2 linked regions of the Elephas maximus indicus genome follow. The protein of the gene in region 1 purifies or fractionates together with the protein of each later gene. This does not show direct contact. Links are inferred from orthologs where the notes say so. Each region holds a gene or a part of one and is shown in the gene's direction. Other genes may lie near its edges.

The links.
Region 2: the proteins of HDAC2 (region 1) and GSE1 purify together in Homo sapiens (affinity purification with mass spectrometry; 5 studies listed by BioGRID and IntAct, with this or other methods). This does not show direct contact. The link is inferred for Elephas maximus indicus from reciprocal best matches to the Homo sapiens genes HDAC2 and GSE1.

What each region holds. Positions count from the first base shown.
Region 1 is NC_064819.1:180,220,051-180,227,823, reverse strand, and holds the start of HDAC2 (histone deacetylase 2), read left to right. Parts: upstream 1-4,714; 5' UTR 4,715-4,962; coding exon 4,963-5,014; intron 5,015-7,773. UniProt on the Homo sapiens protein: Histone deacetylase that catalyzes the deacetylation of lysine residues on the N-terminal part of the core histones (H2A, H2B, H3 and H4).
Region 2 is NC_064839.1:51,005,157-51,013,201, forward strand, and holds the start of GSE1 (genetic suppressor element 1), read left to right. Parts: upstream 1-4,944; 5' UTR 4,945-5,265; coding exon 5,266-6,678; intron 6,679-8,045.

The sequences.
Region 1 (7,773 bases):
AATAAGAAGGAGGAAGAACTAAGACACACATGGTGATGAGGAAACACTGGTGAGTAGATTCTCCCAGGCATAGTCCGAGAGTAGCATTGTATCATAAAATTTGTGCAATTAGGTGGATGGGATCAAAGTGATACTGTGTTTTGAAGGTCACCAGCAAAGCATTAATCAATAACAACAGTAGTGCCTTAGAAAGTTTAAAGTAACTGAATGAATTAGTAGATAATTTATGGTTCAGAAATATATATTGTTTTCTGTAAATGGATAATCATTAAATTTTGTTAAACAAAGGCACAGTTCAAATCACATCATAATCTCTCATGTTTGGCGTGCTGTTCAGGTTTATGAGTTACAACTTGTAGTAAACCAAAAAACCTGTTGCTGTCAAGCTGATTTCAACTTGTAGTGGCCTTAGAGGACAGAGTAGAACTGCGCCACAGAGTTTCCAGGGAGCACCTGGTGTATTGAACTGCCGACTTTTGGTTAGCAGCTATAGCTTTTAACCACTACACCACCAGGGTTTCCAAATAGTCACCGTGCCTCTGAAGTGATCAGAATTCAGCTTGAGACTGTTTTAGTTTGTAACAACACCCAAGCATCAGTCGCTATGCTCCTCTACCTTCTGTATTACTTTATAGAATTACTGCACAGAATTTAACACTAAGAAATCTAAATTTCTTTAGAGTAGAAACAAGATTATATGAAAAGCTCTTTTATAGCAACTAAAAATTAAACTATCTGCTATAGTTGGTAATAGGGTACAATTTTTAGGGAAAGCTCAGGCAATCTGTTTTTAAACAGTCCTGGTTTAAATAATCCCTTTAGGTTTAACAGATCATTTTACTGAATAAGCTCAAAGCACCAAACATCTTTGAGACTGAAAAAATAAGTTTATATAGACAGAGCAGGAACTAAAGCAAAATAGTTTAAGGATGAAGACAATCTTCAATTATGAATTCTATCAATTATTCACACTCTCAGCTTGTTTTCTTTTATTGCATATCATCTTAAACTTTCTGTTTTCTAATGGAAAAAGGGTTGATGGAGATGTTTCAATATGGGAAATGAAGTTTGGAGTTTATCAAAGGGTTCCAATAATGGATCCTTCTTTTGACCTTAGTTCTCATGATCTAAAGTTCAGTATAGATATTTAGGAGCATAATTCTCATGGCCAGCTCTTATCACTGGATCGAACTGCTGCAGTACTGATTCCAAAGGTAAATTCATTTGCTTCTATTTGTTTCAAATAGTTAGATAACAAATAATATAGCAAGGTCCGTGTCGTGGATTGAATTTTGTTCCAAGAATTTGTATACCAATTTGGCTGGGCCATGATTCTCCGGTAGTGTGTGATTTTCCTATATATAGTAAATCCTGCCTCTATGATGTTAATGAGGGAGGATGGGCAGCAGTTGTGTTTCTGAGGCAGGACTCAACCTACAAGACTGGATTGTGTCTTGAGGCAATCTCTTGAGATATAAAAGAAGTAAGCAGAGAGACAGAGGGCCTCATACCACTAAGAAAGCTGTGCCAGGAGCAGAGCATGTCCTTTGGAAACAGGGTTCCTGCGCAGAGAAGCTTCTAGTCCAGGGGAAGATTGATGAGAAGGCTGAGAGAGGAGGACAGTGAAAGCTTTCGCCTGGAGCTGACACCCCGAGTTTGGACTTTTAACCTACTTTACTGTGAGAAAATAAACTTCCCTTTGTTATGCCATCCACTTGTGGTATTTGTTAAAGCAGCACTAGATAACTATTACTGTCCTTAACCAATCAAGATTCATGTTCAGGCTCTTCTCAAAAGGTCAAGGCTAGGTGTTGTGAATGTAAATGACAAAAATTATTATTATAATAATTTGTACTATAAGAATAATCATAGTTGCCCCTTATATTCACATACTTCTTTACAGTTTAAAATGTCTCCATATTAATTCTTATTTGAATCTGTCAATATTCATATAAAAAATTACTCTCCAAGTAATGCTATCATTTTACAGATAAGGCAATTCAGAGTGGAAAAAAAGAAGTTTAAGTGACTTGCCCAAAGTCACACAGGCATTAGAAATGTAATTATGAACAAGACAAACACAGTCCCTCTTCTTACAAAGTTCTGTTCCAAAGGGACATTCTGATAAGTGGGCAACATGGACACTATAACACGGTGAACGTTGAGCTAGAGGGGCTACAGGGCCCTAGGGAGCATGTAAAGGGCACAGAGAATAAACTTAGGAGAGGGGATCTGAAAGAAGTGGAGTCTCATTTCAGACTTCATGAGGTTGCCTATGGGGGAGAACATTAGTTTTCACTAAATTAACTTATTCTGTTCTCAGAATCTACCAAATTGAGTTTGGACTCGTTAGAGCAACACTTAGAAAGTCAATGCCATGTAATTGACTTTACCTCTAAGCCAATGTTTCTCACACTGTGGTTCCTGTATCATGGGCATCAGGCACCTGTGGTACTCGTTAAAAATAAAGATTGAGGGTGGGGAGAAGGTCTACCTTGGACTTACTTTTACTAAACCTCTTGTGTGTGAGGCCCAGGAAAATTGCTGCTGTACAGATGAATACCCTGGGAAGTTTCAAGTCATATAGCAAAACAAAATGCAAGTTTTTGATAGTAGCTCCAAATAGCTCCTGCTTCAGTTAAAGGGTGTGTGGGAGGGAGTGTGCATTGTGGGGACAATTGCAAATGATATAGTTGGGATAAGAGTGTTATACGGGGCTCTTTTAGAGTAGGTCCCTGATACATGTTAACTTAATGACCTGGGGACAGAGGTATTTATAACTTATATGAGTTTGTAAAGTCCTTTCTCTTAGGTTGCTGCTCCAATCTTCCAGTATCCAGCCAGCAACAGAATTGGTATAGTGTAGCAGCTAGGGGATGTGGATCTTAGAGAAAGACTGTTGTTGGGTGTCATCAAGTGGATTCTGACTCATAGCGACCCCATGGGATAGAGTAGAACTGGCCCATAGCATTTTCTTGGTTGTAATCTTTACAGACGCAAACCATCAGGTCTTTCTCCGGAAAAATGCCAGGTCTTTCTCTAGCAGAGCTGGAGATTTGAACTGCCAACCTTTTGGTCATCAGCCAAGCGTTTATCCTTTGCATCACCAGGGCTCCTTGGTGAAAAACTAAACTAACCCCCCCCCCCAAAAAACACAAAAAACGAAAAACCAACCCCCTTGCTGCCCAGTCAATTCTGACTCATAGCAACCCTAAAGGACAGAGTAGAACTGCCCCATAGGGTTTCCAAGGAGCAGCTGGTTAATGTGAGCTGCCCACTCTTTGGGTAAGCAACCTGAGCTCTTTCCACTGCACCACCAGGGCAACTACCTGAGTCCAAATCCCCAGACCACCAGTTAGCAGTTGTGAGGATCAGGTTCCTTAATCTGCCTCCGTCTTAAATAACAGAAATAGTATTTACATCCTAGCGTTGTTGGGAGTCTTAAATGATATAATAAGCCCAAAACCAAACCCATTGTCTTTAAGTCGGTTCCTAGTGTCACTTTTTTTTTTTTAGTGTCATAGTGACTCTATAGGACAGAGTACAATTGCCCCATAGTGTTTTCAAGGCTGAAATTTTTACTGAAGTGGACTGCCGTATCTTTCTCCGGCAGAGCAGCTGGTGAGTTCAATGAGAACATAGACAATTAGGTTGGCAGCCGAGCACTTTAACCACTGCACCACCAGGGTTCCTATAATGATATAACATGTATCTATTGGTGGAGCAAAGCCCTAGTGGCACGGTGGTTAAGCCTTCAGCTGCTAAACAAAAAGTCACAGTTCAAATCCACCAGCCACTCCTCGGAAACCCTATGGGGCGGTTCTACCCTGTTCTATAGCGTCGCTAGGAGTTGAAATCAACTGACGGTAACAGGTTTGGTTTGTTTTATTGGTGGCGCAGTGGTTAAAGCCCTCAGCTGCTAACCGAAAGGTTGGTGATCTCATGGAACCCACCAGCTGCTCTGCAGGAGAAAGAAGTGGCAGCCCGCTTCCGTAAAGTTTAAAGACTTAGAAACCCTATGTGGCAGTTCTACTCTGTCCTACTGGAATGGACTTGATGGCAGTGGATTTGGTTCTTGGTTATTATAGGCAGAGATGAAATATAAACACAACTGCTTAGAACCGTGCCTTACACGTAAACGTTCCCTAAATGCTTATTCAAACCCAGCCAGTACACTGTTCTTGACATTTTTATTGGATTCTTAACAGGCCAGTACCTCAGACCAATTAACAGCAAAAAATGAAAGAATGAATGAACAAATGAGGAAATCAAGAGGACCAAGTACATCGGCCGTGGGCAGCACTTCTCTTCCCGCCGGGCTCACGGCACGTGGTCGGCTCGAGCGGGAGCTTCGCGACAGTGGGGGAGGGCAGCGGCGTGGGACAACACCGAGGGGGTCTAGGCGGCGAAGGCTACGGTTGGGAAGGCGGCGACTGCGCAGGCTCGGGACAGGCGCAACGACTGTGCTAAGATCCGAGGGGGAGAACGGCAACCTGTCTCCAGGCTCCCTTTATCCACCTGCGGAAAAAAAGCCTGCCTTTTTTTCCTCGTTTCGTGACGGTACTTGGCTCCGCCCTCCGCAAATAGTTTGTTCAGGGTTAGGGCTCTTAACGTAAGAGTGAGTGGACCATCTTTCTCTAATCGTGCTCCTTGCTCCCCTCTAGAGGCCACAGTGGACGCGTCCCACCTCCCCACGGCCCCCGGAGGTGGTTTAGCTGCCTCCGCCCCCTCCCCAGTGTCGCTAGTTGGCGCCTCTGCCACCCCCTTCTCGGAGTGCCTGGCCCCTCGGCTGGGTGGTACCGACCCCTCCCGACACCCCCTCCTATCCTCCCTCCGGCCTGCCCTTCCCTGAGGGACTGCCACCTCCACCTTCGCCCCTGCTCTGTTCTCTATCCGCCGAGCCGCGGCGGCAGCAGCAAGAGGAGGAGCCGGTGCCCGGAGGCGGCGGTGGCTGAGGAGCCCATGGCGTACAGTCAGGGAGGCGGCAAAAAGAAAGTCTGCTACTACTACGATGGTGAGAGGCCGGGAGGGTGGGCGGGCAGAGCTGAGGCTGCAAGTCCGGGCCGCGCCAGGCCCGGCACGGTGGCCGCGGTCGCCAGTGGGCGCCGGTGCTGGGGGTGTGAAGGAGGAGGGACAGACGTTTGACTGAATCTTAACCCGTTCCCGACCTGGCGCTGCCAGTGGGAGATCTCTCCGCCGCGACCGGCCCCGCGGACGGGAGCTGGAGGGACGCCCCACTTCCCTTCTGCTCCCCTTTCTCTGGCAGTGCGGCCCACTGCCCCGAAGGTGGCTGCTTCTGCGGATGGCGCCGGCCTACCGCGGCTTAGTGGTAGTGGGGAAGGGGACAGCCCTCCCTCGCGCCTCTCACGCTTGCCACTCGTGGGAGCGGAGGTTTGGGGTCCCTTGCTCTGGCCGTCTGCACCCGATCCCTCTCCCGTCCCCCCCAGGTCAAACTGTCTACCCCGGTCCTGACTGCACACAAAGCCCTGCGGCCGCGGGAGCCCCGCCCCTCCAGCCCCCTCTCTGTCTGCAGTCCCCGCCCGCCTTCCCCTCCCCTCCCCAACCTCCCCTCTTGCCCCCGCGGTGTCAGCCCGGTGCGTCTTCTCCTTTCTCCTCCTCCAGCCTCCCCCCCGACCCGCCGACCCGGGGGTTGCTCCTGAAGAGCAGTGAGTGAGGATGTGGCCCCTAGTACGGCTTGTGGCACACTCCCACCTGTGTTATGCGTGGGCTCAATCCCTCTCCTTTGTTCACTGGGCTCTTTGAGCGCCACTTTCGCGGGATTCCAATGAAAGGGCTCCACTTCTGCAGGAAAAATTAGGGTTTTCGAGTTTGAGGCAGTTAGCCTTCCCGGGAAATAAGAGGAGGTGGTGGGGAAACGTGGAGCTGTTAATGCTTGCGTTGTAGCTCAGCCTCGTTGGGTCCTGGCTTGCCTCTGTGAGAGGTGGTTCCCACCCACTCTTTGTTGCTCTTTGTTCGATCAAGAATTATACCGTGCTTTGGGGTTTTGGAGAGCTTTGGCATCTGGCTTGAGAAGGCTGTCCTAGGTGAAAGGAATCCTGGTGTAGGAACACTTGGAGGAGTAGTGCAGAAGTACTAAAATTTTTCATCAGGTAAACTGGAACTCACAGTACAGTGAATTATAAAAGTTGGATAATTCAGTAGTTTCTGAATCCTATTTCCTGTGTCACTCTAAAGTATACTAAATGGAGTAGCAACTTATTTTACAGATTTAAGCAAAAACGTTAACTTGATAGTTTCTAGTACATGACGCTTGAGAAGAAATTTCAAAATTTAACAGAGGTGAGCCTCAATCGCCAGAAAACCCTTCCTGATTTGTGTGAGGCACAAATTTTGGATGCTGCTTCCTCCATTTGGTGTATTGTAAATCACAAAATCTTACAGTTGGAAAAGACCCTAGAGGATTAAAAAAAAAAAAAAATTAGAGGATTAGGTGAGAATAAATCTGACCTTAACTTGAAAAGAGCCATATCATGTATCTTCAGTGAGCAAGGATTAAGTAGTCTTTATGCCTGTTCAATGTAAAATAACCTCCTTTGTTGTCTGCAGAAAGATCTGATATCAAAAATCTAAATTGTCTGATGTATGGTAGCTAGTTGGTTTTATGGTGGGTAGTACAAAACAGAAACAGCCATATTTAAAAAAAAATTGTTGAGAGGATTGCATACATGTGTAACATAAATTGATGTGAAATTATGCAATGTCGTAGGGGTGGAGATGGGAGTACCTTTTAATTTTATCACAAATTACATTTCTGAAAGTTTGTTGTTTAAGAATCATGCATATTTAGGTTACTGGTGAAATCCAGGCTCTGCCTTCCCTGGTCAAATTGAAAAGTAAGTTAATTTTTAAATGATTTTGTTTCTGATGTTCTTCTCAAGGCTTTGGGGAATGGGGAAAACTTTAAAAGGACAGAGAACCTGAGGTAAGGCTCCTCCTGCAGCTGTTAGTTACTGTTGGCAGTGGTGGGCTCTGATGGAGCAAGCTGACTTACGACTTCTGGTCACCGGGCTTGAACTGTAGAACCAGGAGGTTCACTTGAGTAGCAGTTTTCTGAACAGCTGTTTGTTCCTGGGTCCATCTGTGATGAACCTTTGTTGAAGGAGCAGGGACAAGATGGGTCCTAGGGCAGGGTGCAGACTTGATAGGCTGAGAATATCTGAGAGTCTCATGATTGTGGCTTAATACTTTATTGTAGATCATTCAACTGCTTTACCTGAAAGGCCAACAACCAGGTGTTTAACTGACAGAGTTTGGAAAAATCTTTGGTGGGTCATCTGTCTTTTGTCTGTGGCTCTTACGTGACTCTTCATTTTTAGAAGGGGATATTTAGTTGCTTACACTTTAAATATTTGTGGAAAAGAGTTCCTTTTGTGTGTATGTGTCTGATACAATATTTTGCAGTTTTTTTTAATCGGATAAAAGCCATTATGCTAATTATTAATATGAGCGTATGCTAAATGGCACAATTCCAGAAGCTTACATTTTCATTACCAAAAAACTCTATTTAGTCAACTTATAAAGGTAGTAAATAATACTTTTTTCTTTTCTTTAAATTATAAAGAAATAGTATACAAGTAAAACAGCTTCCGCTCCAAAGAATTATATGACCTGAAAGTATGAACGTGTATAGAATTGTGGGTGGGGAGTTATCAGTAGTAATAAGCCTGAATAATCTTCTAGCCTAATTTATCTAGTTTTAACTTATTTGTAAAAAAAAAAGTAGAAAAAAGAACGATAAAGAGGAAAGCAGAG
Region 2 (8,045 bases), on another chromosome or scaffold:
CAGCACAGGGCAGCAGACCCAGGCTTTCCCCGAGGAGAGGAGGCATAGAGACAGATCAACAAAACCATGTGTGCTCAGAGCTGGAAACAACTCTCCTGGCAGAGTGAGGGCAGATTCCTGTGGTTTGGGGGCTCAAAGGACCCTACAGGTAGCTGCAAATCTGACATGTGCCCAGGTGTTCCATGCTGCCTGGTCTCCTGAGACTGGAGGTGGGGTGTTTACACCATAGTTCCCAATGCAGGGTCTGCCTGGGAGCATCTGTCATTGCTTTCCAGATCCGCCACACTCGAGTCCTAGGAATTTAAGATGGAAGGAGCCAGGGCTGGGCATCACATGGTCTGGAGGGAACCTGGCACCCTCTCTCTGCCCGCAGGGAGGGTTGTAGGGCTCAGAGGAGAGGTGTTATAGGTTGAACTATATCCCCCAAAAGATATGTGGAAGTCCTAACCCACGTACCTGTGAACGTGGCCTTGTTGGCAAATAGGTCCTTTCTTCGCAGATGCTATCAGTTAACTAGGTTATGCTGGAGTTATTGTTGTTCTTGTTAGCTGCTGCCCAGTTGATTCCAACTCATGGTGACCCCATGTGTGCAGAGTAGAACTGCTCCATAGGGTTTTCAAGGCTGTGACCTTTCGGTAGCAGATGGCTAGGACTGTCTTCTGAGGTGCCTCTGGGTGGGTCTGAACTGCCAAATAGGGTGTGTCCTAATCCCTTCTGAGTGATGTCTTATAAAAGGCGAGATCAGACACAGATACAGAGTCACACATACGGGAAGACGCCATGTGAAGATATCTCTACAAGCAGCAAAGGGCATGCCAAGGATTGCCGGCAGCCACAGAAGCTAGGACGGAGGCACGGAACATGGAACTGCTCCTCTCTCAAAGCCTCAGAAGGGATCCACATGGCCATTGCCCTGATCTGGACTCCCAGCCTCCAGAACTGTGAGCTGATAAATTTTTGTTCTTATGGCAGCACTAGGAGACCAAGACAGAAGGCAAAGAGATGGCTCTCCTGGGACCCTGAAGCTGTGGGCCCCACACTCTTGGCAGGATGCTTCGCGGGCCCTTCCCACTTTGAGCCTTTTGCATTTTCTCCTTAGAAGCAGGTACTTGGAGTCTACTCTGGCACGTGACGTTAATACCAACGAGCTTTGGCATGCTGTCCTCATCTTCCTCACCCATACCCAGCCTTTTTTGTGTCAAGACTCAAATCTGTGAAGCCCTTATTTCCTTAGGCGTGAAAATGGGAACATGGGAGAGGGGATATGGGACCTTCTTGGCCATGCTTGTCCTATCCAGCTGGCGCCTCAGAATTTAGGGCAAGGCTAATCTTAATAGCTCACATACCAGGGGGTTACAGAGACACAGCCTGGGTTCAAGTCCCAGCTCCACCAAGCTGGTTCCTGAGACAGGGATTTTCTGAATCACTGGGTCATTGAGAGAAGCAAAAACATCCACTTGAGCACTCCCCACCCCTGCTCTAGGCCCACTTTACACGTACATGCACACACACAGAGACATACACGTATGAATGCATGCACACACATGAATGCACACATACACATGTAAACGAACACAATGAATGCACATATACTCGTGCACACACACGTACATAATGGATACACATACATGCACACAATAACACACAAACACACACATGCACACAATGAATGCACGCATACATGCAGACATGAACACGCATGCATGCATACATACACATGCACACATGTACACAGATGCACTCGCATACACGTGGCACACATCCAGTAGTTCTCCTGAATCTCCAGCTTAGCCAAGAAAATCCCATTTCCCACTTTTTGTCCAGTTGACCCCTGTGGCCCTTCTCCCTCAGACTCTGCACAACCTCATCACAGTCGCACCCCCTGCCCCCTGGAGTGCAGACAGACAGCAGAAGAACCTCCTTTACCACTGGGTGAGACAAGAAGGGACATGCACTGTCACCAACAGCATGCCGGCTCCCCTGTGCCAGGGCATCACTCCCTCTACCTCATTTGATCTGCTCAAAAAATCATGAGAGGTCGGTGTGTGGGGCCCAGGCATTGAGCCAGGCACTGGACATACACAGTGAGCAGAACTGACTGGTCCCTGCCCTGGATGAGGGAGCACCCAGCCTCCCGGGGGAGCTGGATGGGGAACAAGCAGACAGAAAAAATAATTAAAGTCAATGGCAAATTCCTATGCCAAGGACTAGAGACAAAGGGTCACCGGGGAGGCCTCCCTTTAGGGGGAGTGGACAGGGAAGTCTCTTGGGATGACATTTCGGCCAAGACCTTAAAGATGAGCTGGAGCAGCTTGGCAAAGAGAGCCTGGGAAAGCATTTGGGCAGAGGGACAGCCCTGCCAAGCCCTGTGGGATCCAGGTGTAACTCCCCAGCCTACCTAGATCTCCTAAGCTCGGCATTGTTTTACCAGCAGCCCCTCTGCGTGTATATGTGGGGGGAGAGGGACGTTGGCCAGTCCCCCTTTAATGTGTGGGGATACAATTGAACAGACCTCACCCTTTAACATTTTCCTAATCAGCCCCCTCCTGTTGCCCTCCTGCCCTGCCCCTGACATTCCTCTGGGACAGTTTTGCTGACGCAGCGTTTTTCCACTATGAGGGCATTTCTGGCCAAGATGTTCACATTAACCTCTGGACTGTGACCCCTGGAGTATCCACGTGGGATTCCACAGAGGTGGCCCTTTTCTCTTGCTCTGTTTATTTATAATGCATGGCCTCCTTTGTGCCAAGAGGAAGCCCAGTTTTATTTACAAGTCAACGCCCCAGAGGCCGGAGGGGCCAATTGGCACCATTGTCACCAGGCCGACTTCTGGGCTCCAGCTGCCAGGTCGGACAGCTGTCAACTGCTTGGAAATCAGAGGCTCACAGAGTTTTGAAGCTGGAAGGGGCGTCATTTCACAGATGGGAGATGTGAGGACCAGAGAGGCCTGGGTTTGCCCAAGGCTGAGCCAGGACCGCAGGGAGAACGGAGGAGTCCTGGCCATGTTCCCTGATGGGGATGGCCTATCAGCACATGGATGACGGACCAGATATGTCAGGTGCCCATCAAGGCTGCACAGCCAGATCGTTGGGAGCAGGGGCCTGGAGCTGGACTGCCTGAGTTTGAATCCCAGCCCCACCACTTCCCACATTAACCCTCTATGCCTCATTTTTCCCATCTCAAAAATGGGGCTGACCACAGCACCCAACTCAGAGTTATTGGGAGAAGTAACTGAGCTAATATGTGTAGCGCTTAGAATGGGGCCTAGCACACAGTAGGGTCTCTCGCTACGTGTTCCTTAAATAAACTCACTGTATTTATACACATATTCAGTAAATGCACTGGAAACAGTTACCCTCTGCTGCAGTTCCTGTTTGTCCAGAAGGGGGGAAGACTCTCAGACAGGTTGAGTCCCTTGCCCCTAGACACATAGGACCTTTTCTGCCTCTGGTGGTGATCCAGTGGCCTCTGGTCAACACGGGGGGCGGGGGGACGGGGGGCCTGGCTGGGCCCCCAGACTGATGCTTCACTAACCGTGTTCCAGGACAGCTCCTCTTCTCTGTCTCCAAAATTAGAAAGCCGGGCCTGAAAAGTTCCCTCACCCCTAGGCTGCTCAGCTTCTAGTAACTGGCCCTCACTCAGCCCCCGCCCCCCTTTTGAGCGGGTAGGGGGGCCTCCGTCCGGGAGCTGCCCTTCATCTGCGGATGCACCTCGGTCTCCAGGGGCGTCCTTACCTGGTTCCTCTGGCGTTCTGCGTCCTCCTTGACCTTTACTTAAAGACCAGCCTTGGCCGCTGATGGGCTTCGGCGGGTCCCTGAGGAGGCCCTTCAGACGGCTTTAGCCGGGCGGGCTGGAGAGAGCCCCTAATTGGGGCAATGAATCATTGTGCGCGGCTCCGGGGCTGGACACAAAATAGATAGTGGAGCCGGCGAGCTATTGTGCGCAGTTTGGGACGCGGGAGGAGGGAAGGAGGGCGGAGGGAGGGGGAGGAGGAGGAGGAGGGAGCGCGCGAGGGAGGGATTCCCCGCCTGCCCTCCTCCTCCCTGCCCGCCCACCCGCCCGCCCGCCCGTCTCCCTCCTCCCCAATTAAATGACCCAACGCTTTGGCAGGCGCCGGAGCTCGCACATGCGGCTGCCGCTCCAGCCGCCCGGAGCCCGCCACCGCCGCCGCTGCGTTCCGGGCGCGCTCGCCGCGGCGCCGCCTCGGCCTGCGCCGCCGCCGGGTGCTCGGCAGGCCCGGGGGGCGCCCCCGCGAGCGGCCGCGCGCCCCGCCCGGCGTCTGCCGGCCGCCGCCAAACTTTGCGGCGCGCGCTCATGGTCCAAGTTGGGCGGCAAGGCGGCGGGGCCCGCGGCTGCCGGTGAGCGATGAGCGGGCGGGCGGCGCCGGTCTCCCGCAAACAGCGGCTTATGGCAGCGCTGGCCGAGCGGCCGGCGGGCGGCGGCGGCGCGCCGCTCTCCTGCTTCATCTGCGGCGGCGGCATCGGTCGCGGAAAGGAGCTGAAGCTGCAGGTGAAGCAGCCGGCGGCGGCGGCGGGTGCGGGGGCCCCGGCGCAGCCCTTCTTCCCGTTCCTGCAGCAGCAGGAGCCGGCGCCCGGCGCGCGCGAGCTCTCGCCGGCCGACGGTTGCGTGCTGGTGTGCGCGGTGTGCCGCTGCTTCCTGGGAGAGCAGTGGGCCGCCTTCGAGCGCGCCCGCACGCCAGTGGACAAGCGCATGTACTGGCTCAAGCGGCCGCACCAGTGCGAGGCGGGCGCGGGCGGGCGCCGCGGGGGCGCGGGGGCCCCGCGCGAGTGGAACGTCGCCTACGCGCTGGGCGCCGGCGCGGGCGACGACGACGACGAGGACGGCGGCCCCGGGCCCCGCGCGCCCGCCGACGAGGCGCGCGACTCCGAGCTGTCCGAGCTGTCGGACACCGATCCCCTCTCCGAGCCCGACCCGGGCGCGCACGACGCCGTCAGTCCGGCTCAGGACGGGGCGCCGCTGCCGCGGAGCACCCCGGGGCCAGGCCCTCGCGGGCCCCGCGGCCTGGAGTGGAGGCCGGCGCCGGGACTTCCTCTGGGACAGAGCGCAGAGCCCCCCGCTCAGGGGGACGTGGACGAGGAGGGGGCCCCTGCGAAGCTGCACGTGAGCGGGGAGCCCAGGACCGGCAGCGGGCGCCGGCGGAGGGGGACTGGGAGGCACTGGGCCCCTGAGGCCCGGGCCAGCGTCCTGAGGGGCATTCAGGGCACTTGGCAAGACCCACCAGTCCAAGCGCCTGCTGCAGATGGAATGAAAGGGCCCCCCTCTGGCAGGCCCACCAAGACTCCAGAGAGCAGGCTGCTGGGGGAGACCCACGGGGGCTACTGCACCTCTGAAGACAGTGACATCAACATCACCAGCGAGGAAGAGGACGACAAGGAGCAGCCCTTCCCTGCCCCCTGCGGCCCCAAAGAGAAGGACAACAGTGACCGGGTCCCCCGGGGGGCCCCGGAGAGCCGTGTGGTACCACCGGAGGGACCTTGCTGCTACATCTGTGGGTCAGCGCTGTCGGCGGCGTCGCAGCACCAGATCCACGTGCAAAAGCAGGAGAAGTTGGCACAGGCCCCGTTCTTCCCCTTCCTGTGGCTGCACAGCCCGCCCTCAGGCGCACGTCCCATCAGTCCTGGAGGCAGCACACTGGTGTGTGCCTGCTGCTTCACCTCTCTCATGCAGCAGTGGCAGAGCTTCGAGCTGGCGAGTGTCCCTGTCCTGCAGCGGCTGTACGTGGTGCCTCTGAACAGCCGTGCGCCGGGCATGGCCTCCAAGGGCAGAAGGCTGCCCAGGGAAGAGGGTGTGCCTGCCGCAGCCCTTCGGGAGGCCTGTTACCTCTGTGGCGAGGACTGCACCCAGGATGCCCGAGCTGTGCCTTCCAGGATCCTCAATGGCAGCACCAGGAGCACCATGCACTTCCCCTTCCTCAGCCTGCTGCCCTGCCCCCCCAATGCACGGGCCCCCAACAAGCTCTGTGAGGTCCATAGCTGCCCCAAGTGCTTCAGCGTTCTGGAGGATGTCTGGGCCTTGTACCGGGCCTGCCAGAATGAGGAGCTCATCACCTCCGTGCAGGCCTTCCTGGGCAGATACCACCAGGCCTTCTCTGCGTCTGACTCAGGAATCTCTGAGCCGCCCACCGCAGCCCAGGGCAGCCCAGCATCTGTCTGCTACATCTGCGGGGCTGAGCTGGGCCCTGGGAAGGAGTTTCAGCTCAATGTGAACCCCTCCAGCTGCCTGGGTGAGAAGGAGCCCTTCTTCCCCTTCCTCACTGTGTACCCGCCTGCCCCAAGAGCCAGGCCTGTGGACTCCACCGGCCTGGTGGCGACCTGTGTGCTCTGCTACCACGACCTGCTGGGTCAGTGGCTTCAGCATGAGGCCCGTGGTGCCCTCCATGCCATCAGTGCCTGGTCTCGGCAGTACCAGGTAGAGACCTTTGTGTGCTTCTTCTGCCAGCAGGAGAAGAAGCGCTGTCTAGGAATGAAGGCTGTGCGAGTGGCCCGACTACCCCTGTTCCTCTATACCTTGCGGGCGAGCCACAGCCTGCTGGTGGACGATGGGCGGCAGCTGATCATTGGTGCCTGTGTGGAGTGCGGGACTCTAGTGTGTGCGGGCCAAGGGCCCAACCGTCAGGGGCCTACCGGCTGGAGTTCCCCAGTGCCAGTGGTGACAAAGGTAAGCGGTGGTTCTCATCTCATCTTAAAGCCTTCCTTAGAAACCTGTGCAGGGAAGGAAGCGGTGTTTTCTGTTTCTCTGCAGTTTGTGCTGGTCCTGCGTGGTGTGTAATGGTGAGAGGTCACCAGGCTGCCTGCCCTTGGTTGGCTCCTTGGCCTGGCAGAGCTTGGAGACACAACGTAGGAGGTCAGAGAAGTTGAGGGACCAGGAGTGGTCTGTGGAAGAACGGGCACTGCTGAAAACAGCAGGCATGGGAAGGAGCTTGGGCGTTTTTGCAGCAGCGTGTTTGTGGCGGAATCTATCAAACAGAGGAAGTTCAGGGCATGTCTGTCATCTGCCTGATAACATTGGTAATTAGTCCAGCCATGCAGGTCACAGAGAGGTCTCGGCACTTACCATGTTTGGAGCATACCAGGGGTGGAAGTTCCTCTCCGCTCTAACTCTAGCTGCGCCTGAGCTTTCCACCACCTCCCCCCCCGCCCCGCCACCCAGTCCACGCTTTCCCTTTGAGACTCTCTGGTTGCTTAACAGCAGATGGAAATGTGTTTCCAGACATGGGGGTGTGGGACGCGGGAGACAGTGGCCCAAACAGACTTCTCCCTGGTGGGAAGAGTCTTTCTTCTCTGCCAGTCAGCTGTGCGGGGTGGGAGGGAGGTGGTAGCAGAGGCCTGGGTGCTCCCTGTTTATATGGCGCTTGCCTTCACTCGGCTGCTTGCCCTGGAGGAGCTCCATTAATTTTGGATTTGGGGGTCTGGGGAAGAGGATGGCTGTGAGTCGAAATCATGCGTGGCCTAGGGGGCCGTGAAGCCTAGTTTCCGCCCAAGAGGGTAGGCTGGCTTGTTTTACTCAAATACCTGCTGGTGCTGCTGTCATGAAACGCTGACCCAGCAGCCGGCGGAGGGGCATGTGGATGGGGCAGGCCATCCCATCCTATTCAGGAAGGTGGTTCGATCCTTTGATCCCTTCGAAAGGTTTCTGATCCCACCTTCCACGTGTGTGCACACATAAGCGGAGGACCCTGGTACATGTGTACTCACAGCGGCCCCCTGTGTAAGGTGGTGTCCCCACCACATATCTGTCCTGCTTCCTTGGTCTGCAGGGTCCCACACCTTCATGGATCGCCCAGGTCTCCTTCTCTAGCTGACACCTGGGTTGTGCTTTAAGGCTGTCTTTGGGGGCTCCGATGGGACAGCCTTTGATTTTAAACCGAGCCTATCGTCTCCCATCCTGGAGCCCGAACCTCTCATTGGTGGCGTGTGGCAAGCCAGCCCCGGGGTCACCTGCTGGAATCTGAAAATTGCAGTTCCCAGGAGGGCTGAGACTGGGCAAAAAACCTGGGATTGGAACAGGCCAGCCCCTGGTAGCTG